Nothobranchius furzeri: one gene and its partner. The protein of the gene in region 1 binds, or shares a complex with, the protein of each later gene. Links are inferred from orthologs where the notes say so. Each region holds a gene or a part of one and is shown on either strand. Other genes may lie near its edges.

What was found.
Region 2: yeats2 (region 1) and kat14 share a complex: the UniProt entries of both Homo sapiens proteins name them as parts of the ADA2A-containing complex. The link is inferred for Nothobranchius furzeri from reciprocal best matches to the Homo sapiens genes YEATS2 and KAT14.

Annotation. Positions count from the first base shown.
Region 1 is NC_091751.1:55,945,673-55,949,486, reverse strand, and holds part of yeats2 (YEATS domain-containing protein 2), read right to left. Parts: intron 3,025-3,814; coding exon 2,652-3,024; intron 2,563-2,651; coding exon 2,428-2,562; intron 2,109-2,427; coding exon 1,989-2,108; intron 970-1,988; coding exon 828-969; intron 750-827; coding exon 673-749; intron 595-672; coding exon 515-594; intron 73-514; coding exon 1-72. UniProt on the Homo sapiens protein: Chromatin reader component of the ATAC complex, a complex with histone acetyltransferase activity on histones H3 and H4. YEATS2 specifically recognizes and binds histone H3 crotonylated at 'Lys-27' (H3K27cr).
Region 2 is NC_091746.1:29,633,172-29,637,085, reverse strand, and holds the start of kat14 (cysteine-rich protein 2-binding protein), read right to left. Parts: upstream 2,534-3,914; coding exon 2,275-2,533; intron 2,173-2,274; coding exon 2,051-2,172; intron 1,956-2,050; coding exon 1,834-1,955; intron 1,603-1,833; coding exon 1,430-1,602; intron 1,356-1,429; coding exon 921-1,355; intron 847-920; coding exon 266-846; intron 89-265; coding exon 1-88. Other genes in the region: protein PET117 homolog, mitochondrial, read right to left, coding at 2,729-2,878, 3,412-3,651. UniProt on the Homo sapiens protein: Component of the ATAC complex, a complex with histone acetyltransferase activity on histones H3 and H4. May function as a scaffold for the ATAC complex to promote ATAC complex stability. Has also weak histone acetyltransferase activity toward histone H4.

The DNA of each region.
Region 1 (3,814 bases):
CAGGGCCTGCAGGCGGGGCGAGCGGTCCAGCACGTCCTGAACCAGACGCTTCACCGCCACCGCTCTCTGAAGCTACAGAGACGGCCAAAGATCAGCTCATTTTAACTCGGAAGAGTCCGATCACAAAGTTTAAGCATTGTAGACCCTCGCTGCTTAAACTATTTAGCAACATGCATGAATAAGCATTAATATTCACGGTATCCCACATACGGCTCAGAATACAGTATTAGTCAAAGAGATGATGTGGCAGAAACACACATCCAACTAGAGAGAGAAGAGATGCAGCTGGAAGACGGATTAAAATGCAAAACTGCAGCCGCGGCGAATCATCACGTCGTGTACTCCATCAAAGTGAGTAAAAACACGGTCATACTTCTCTTCTCCACAAGAACAGCAATGAATCATTTACTATGTTGATGAAACACGAGGCTAGTACAGCATGAAGACGAGTAAAACTGAAGATAACGGTGAGAGGTGGACATAAGATTTCATCAAAACAAAATCAAAAGGTTACCTCTGACGCTCTGCGTTTGCCAATGTTCCAAGAATAATACTGTTCTACTGAGGAGGCACAAAAGGGATGGGAGTCTTCAGCTATGTAAAAATAAAGCAGCGTTACATTTAAAGAGTGTCTTCAGTCGGTTTATAAATATGAAATCTAATTGTATTTACTTTTTTCTGGCACAATTAGAGGAAACTTCTTCACCACAGCCGTCAGCAGCTGCATCATGGTTTCGATGTGCTCAGTGCTGAGAGGAAAGAGCTTTGGATTAACATCAGAACATCATCTGCATTTGTGTTTAAAGAGACAGCGGCGTTGCTCTTACTTAATGAGGCAGTGTGCTGAGTTATCTGTGCCTTGTTCCTGTTTGACGGTGGTGGCTGCAGAAGCAACATGGACAGGGGCTGGAGCAGCAGCCGTCGCCAGGGGCGACGGACCAGCTGCGACGGCACCTGGTTCTGTTTTCACTGTGGCAGCGGAGAGCGACAGCAGATGTGTATATGTGGGGGAGATAAATGTTATTAGGAATCACAAACATATTTAGACTTGTATAAAAGATTATTACTCTGAACTATTTCATCACAAATCAACACATGTAATTTATATTTTAAAGGGAACTAGGCAGTCTTGGCTTGCTTTTGGCACCCCCTAGAGTCCATTTATAGAACTGAAAGCAAAACTTATCTCCTCGCTTTCCCCCCAGCCTTCCTTAGTATCTACAGGAGTCATTCATTCATTTGGGGCAGCAGTAGCTCAGGTGGTAGAGCGCGTTGCCTCATGATCGGAGGGTCATGGGTTCGATTCCAGCTCCCACCAGGGGTATCCTGCTGTTGTGTCCTTGGGCAAGACACTTCACCCAACTTGCCTGTGTTAGTGGTGGTCAGAGGGGCCGACGGCGCCAAATGGCAGCCTCGCCTCTGTCAAACCTCCCCAGGGCGGCTGTGGCTACAAGTAGCTTATCATCACTAGCAGTGTGTGAATGTGAGTGTGTGAAAGCGTCTTTGGGGGTCTAGAAAAGCGCTATATAAGTTCAATGCATTATTATTATTATTATTATTATTCATCACTAAATTACACAAATCAGATGTGTTCATAATCTAAAACATCCAGGAAATGTGCTGGAACCAGACTGCAGCACCAGGTATGTCAACTCCTTTTGTCTAAGTCCCAACAGAGCTGCCCGCCAGTCTGAAGTTGCAAGTGGAATACTCTGGTCACAGGTGGCGATGGGGGCTGGGTGTCATTTCATTAACCATGTAAAGGGTCATTTTAGCACATAGTGGCTCAAGAAAATGATTGAAAAAGTAGCTAAATGTCCCATTAATAAGACTCTAATGGTTTGGATTATGTTCATCAGCTTTAAACACAACTATCAAACTATTTGCTTCGTCTTCAGTGGCCAATGTTTGATTCTGACAGCTCAAACATAAAAATGGAGTTAGGAAGAAAGAGAGGAGAGGGTGGAGTGACAATGGACCCCTCTCACCTTGTGCTAAAGGCGGGATAAGGGAGGAGGAGACCTGGCTGGAAAGACCTGAGGAGGCTCCAGCTGCTCCAGGAGGAGTGGATGAAGAGGAGAAGGAGGGAGGAGTATTGGAGACTGGGCCTTTAGACAGACAGACAGACAGACAGACGGACGGACGGACGCACGCACGCACACACGCACGCACGCACGCACACACACACACACACACACACACACACACAGAAGGGTCAATGTCCTGCTAGGTAAACAGTAAGACAAAAAATGAGATGAGAGGATATTGGTAACAATAAGATATTTCCAGATGATGGAGCGCATCTCAGATTTATTTTAAAATTACATCAAGTTCAGAACAACTAAAGAAGTAATCCAGGATCAGTTTTGGGATTCTGTTTAACTTCAACACTAGCGAGATTATTCTGTGTTCATGGAGTGGGCTTACCTTTACTGACAGGCATGAATATGGATTGCAGTCCAGCAGACCCAGTTCCAACCCCTAGCTGCTTCAGCTGGGTGGCAGGGATGGTTAAAACGGTCTGCTGGGAGCTGGAACCAGCAGACTGGATCTTCAGCATACCTGGCCAAAAACCACAAGGTGAGATCATTTGCACACCCATGTGTTGTGCATAAACATATGATTGTAGGTTGTGGTGTGTTCCTCCACACCTGACAGTGCAGCACTTGTTTTTCCTGCTCCAGCTGCCACTCCGCTGACTAACGACGCCGCAGAAACTAATGGAGTGTTGCTGCTTTTGGACACCCCCACCACAGTCCCAGCTCCAGCTCCTTTGGACGTGCTCATGACGGGCAAATTTGTGACACCTTTTGCCACCATCACTGCGGCAACGGCTGAACTTCCTGCACTCTTACTTGGGGAGGCGGAGCTTCCAGCTCCTTTGACCAAAGAGGCCACAGCTGCCTTGGACAGACTGCCGCCGCTGGCTGTGCCGGCGTTCTTAGCTGCGCTGATTACTGCCGCCTGGCTGGCTGACACCAGCAGTTGCTGTTGCTGGGAGGCAGACTTCCCGCCATCAGCAGCCTGGATAAAGATACAGAAACACATCTGTCAACCAAAAAAATGTGCAGAAATACTGCACCTCTCATGCATGTATAAAGCAGAAAAAAAAAAATCCTGACATAGTTTATGTTTTAAATAAATAAAATTTTGACAGCACTCTGCAGCCCTCTGCTGACCAGAAACTGCTCTTAAATATTTTGTGGTTCCGGTAGGGGTACTACCTGCTTTACGACAATAAACGTCTACTGTGCTGGTAGCTCATATAAAGGCTAGCTGTTAGCCATTTCAGTTTCACCGGCCGTCAATAAATAGTGCAAGATGAAATAGTTTACTTTTTTGTTGGCATCATGGCGGAGCCTGGAAATTAAAGTAAGAGAATGATGGCTTTGGAGGCAGAGCAAAGAGCAACAACTAGAGTGAACATCAACACGACCTACACTCGTTTGAGGACAATAAAGGAGGCATTGAAATGAAAGGTTTATGGTGACCTGGCTTTGTTGTAACTTATAAGCAATATTCTGGTCCAAAAGTGTGAATTGATTAGATTAAGCCACACTTGAGATAAGAATGAAAAATAACTAGGACCAGTAATTTGACAACACACACACACACACTTCTACAACCTCCAAGGTGCTTCGCAACACAATCAGTCATTCACACATTCACACGCTGGTGGGCATGAGCTACATGAGCCACAGCTGCTCTGGGGCACACTGACAGAGGCGGGGCCTGCCGAGCACTGGGCCGCCGGTCCCTCCGACCACCACCAGGACAAGTGTCTTGCCCAAGGACACAACAGCAGCATTCTCTG
Region 2 (3,914 bases), on another chromosome or scaffold:
TTTTGTCCAAACTGCCTTCAGCTCCCATCAGACGGTGCCAAAAGGACACGGAGCTGTGCTGGACACGCCTTCGGCTGGAGACGCTGGTCTGTAAACACACAGATGGGTTCAGAGACCAAAGCTGAATCTGAGCCGATGGTGTTAGCTTTCAAGGGAGAAACGGCACAAAAAGGTCAAAGGTCGAGTGAGAAACAGCTGGAACGTGCTGCTGATGTGAAATATGGATGTCTTCTAAAGGTTTGGAGTTGAGGAGACAAGCAGAGACCTGAAAACGATCCAGAATCCGCTGCTCCTGGCGGCTGCTGCAGTATTTCTTCTTAGCCCCGCCTTCCACATGTGCCCCCGCCTCCTGCGCATCATAGATGCCTCCCACCAGGCTGAGGGTGGCGCTGATTGCTCGGTCAACGTCTAGCAGGGGGAGCCCTCTCTGGCGTTTGGTCTGGCGGACCAGCAGCTTCCTGTGGAGGCGTTTGGCATGTGGAGTGACGGCCAGCGCCAGCGGGCAGGCGTCCAGCCGCAGCAGCAGCAGCCGCTCCTCGTACAGGCTGAGCGGGACCAGGCCCGGATCCCGAAGGACAGCCACTTCGTTAGATTTCTCAGGATGAGTCGCCCTCCGCCGCTCGGCTGCTCTGACGCCAACCGGACCCCGGCAGGAAAGAGTCGGGGCCTCTGCCGGCTCTTCCAGGGAGTCCTCGTTCTGGTGGCCATCATCGTCTTCACTCTCAGCTTCCCGTTTGATGTGGGATGGCGCCGCTGGGCGGAGCTTCTTACGGCCAACATGGCTGGTGCTAGCAGGAGGGATGTACTCCACCCCTGGGTCAATCATCCCTTCAATCTCATCGTCATCTGAAAGAGGGAGGCAGACAGGAGATGACATCACAGCTGACACCACAGCCCAGCACGAGGATGAAATGACTCACCGTGGAATAATGCCTGTGGCGGCATGGCGTCCGGAATTAGGTCCGCCTCCGAAAGAAGGCTGGGTGTGGCTGAATGAGAGGCAGGCGTTCCCGGAGCGGAGAAGTCGGGCGATGGAGACAGAGATGGGCTGGTGAGCGGTGTTCGGTCCGAGGAGCTGAGGGATGAGAACTCGATGACCTCGCCTTTTTCCAGGACCACCTCAGACCGGCGACTGGCACCCCCACCGCGGCCTCCGCTTAGCTTAACGGGAGTGGAGGAGGAGCTGCGGTCAACGTAGCCTCCCACTGCCTCCTTCTGGGCTCGGCGGATGTCTTTGGCCTCTTGTGTGCGGCAACGCTTCTCCTTCAGCTGCATGGCGTTCTCCACCGGGTTCCTGGCTCCACGTTTCCTCAGACCTTCCACCGTAATAATCGGGTCCATCACCGGTTTAGAGACTGTGAGTGAACGACACAATGGATCAGTGGGCGGAGCTTTCTCACCTGAACATAACTGTGACAATGCATCTCACCTTTGACCTTAGCGATGGATTTGTCCCCATCCGGTCTCAAGGTGGGAGGTCTGTTCTGGACCAGCTTCCACCAGCCTGGTTCTCCAAACTCCTGCGCACCAGAGCGGAAGAAGGTGGGACTTCCGACAGAAAGGCAGCCAGCGACTGTGCTCCACCACGTTGACGTCTTCTTCCTGCAAACATCATTAGCATCTTCACTGATCCGAGTTAAAGATTCAGCAGAACTTGTGATGATTCTTTCAACGGGATCGATCGGGGCTGGGATGTTTCCTGGCCCTGGAAACCCATCTTCCCTCCATCATCTGTGCAACTGTGGATGTTTAAAGTGGGTCAAACAGCTCAGGTTTGAAAGGGAAGCCTTAAACTCTGATTGGCCAGGGTCTCCGGCATGACTTCTAACTCACCTGTTCCCCAGCAGGAAGTTCCAGTGGCGGCCAATGAAAGCGCAGATGTCCTCCTTCCACCTGAAGTAACCCTGCCGGCCTGTCCCCTCCAGAGACAGGTTGTACATGGCCAGCATCACCACCTGAACACAGGATGTTCCTGTTTAACAAGCAGGAAGTGTGTGTGTGTGTGTGTGTGTGTGTGTGTGGTACCTGCCCTGCTGAGTCTGGGTCATACCTGCTGCCAGGTGAGCCTCATCCTCTCAAAGCTCTCCTTCCTGTCCTCAGAGCACTCGGAGCAGAAGAACTTAAAGAAGTTGTCTCCTTTCAGGTAACTGGGCTGGTCACCGTGGAGCTCAGCTGGACCAGAACCGGGTCAGAAAGACAAAACCCTTTAGGATCGCAGCAACCACACACACACACACACACACGGTCCTCCATGCTGTGCTGTGACTGGCTGACCTGCAGGGATCCACTTGTGGCAACGTTCGCAGTAGAAGGACATGTCCTCACAGGCCCAGCCTCCATCCGTCTCCTCGCCCACGTCGCTGGTCAGAGAGTCCCCGCTCTGGTCGTGGGACAGGTCTACGGAGCCCTGGTCCTCAGACTCTACGATCAGCAGAGTCTCCCCCTCTACCTCGCCCTCCTCCAGACCCTCAGAGGCGGATGTTCCAGCCGCCTCGTCCTCTGCCGCTGCCAGCTGCTCACTGCTGCTGTCCATCTCTGGGCACCTGTGGAGGTTACATGGGTCAGAGAGGCACTCTCTTATTTGTCCATCCAGAAGACCCATGTGGACATTTCAGATACAACAATAGGTTCAAACTGGATCAAACCAGACAGAGAAGTTCTGGTCCTTCATGTCATCTTTGTTCTATACAAGCAAACACAGCTGAATGACCATGTTTCCTGACCTGCCTCAGGTGTCCTGTGACTGAAGCCTCTCCTCTCCTCTCCTCCGCTCCTCCTCCAGGTGTCTGGTCAGAATCCTCTGCTCTTCCAGTAGCCTCAGGTTCTCTTTCTTCCTCTCCACCCGCTCCAGATCCTGAACCACACCCTCACGCAGCCTCTGCAGGGTCATTAAAAACAACACGTGACAACAGGCCCTGCTGCGGAGTCACGTCGGCTTTAATCTGAACCCAAGTGCAAGATAAAAGGGCCTACAAGAGACTCAGAACCATAAGCACAAAGAGGCTCCTCCTGCAGAGCAGAAGTAACACAAATATGGGTCCGTTTCTCACATAGTTCGGGTCTAGATTCTGGCTGGACCGCTGCACCTTGGTTCTGTTGTTGATCTGCTGCTGTGTTGTCACAGACTCGTGTGTGTGTGTGTGTGTGTGTTAGATATCAGGATGCTGGACTCCTGTGGAACCGGCCCAGGCCATTAGCCCTCCACCACCATGTTGACAGCTGGGGTATGAGCTGTTTGTGCAACAGTGAATTATGGGTAATCATCTCACATCCGGGACATTGTGAGCTGCCAGCCAGTTTATTTCTATCACTTCCTTACAGGAAAATTATTTACGCTGGTTTTGGGTCAGAGGTCAGGTTAAATGTCCTGTAGTTCGGTTGCTGCTGGACCGGCTCGATTCGCACACTTACCTCTCGATCCCAGGCCTGGTTTAAATGGACCGCTGCCACGGTACCCAGCGTCAGAAGCACAGAAACACCCAGAACCACTTTGGAGGCTGCCGACATCACGTTGGGTCTGACTTCAGTTAGCCAGATGCTAACAGGCTCCTCGTCTGCACTACCGGAAGTTATTCTTCTTCTTCTGTTTATTTTCACTCCCATGAGCCACAGCGGCCCCTGCTGGTGGGGAAATGAGCTGCAGGCAGCCATCGTTGAAGGTTTCTTGGTAACAGAACAAAAAAAGATGGTTGTGGTGCTTTTTCAGCATTTTTTATGACGTTTTACCTTTTTTCGGCTAAACATTTATGCGACGCAGGCTGAGAATGTACATTAGTATGTGCACATAGTTTTGGAAACCAACGTTTTCTTTTTATTCGTTGTTTTTAGTGGTTGGAGTTTACAATAATAACGTATGGCCAAGGTGTGTTTACCTGTAATCTGATCATTTCCTTCTTTATTTTCTTTAAGTGGAG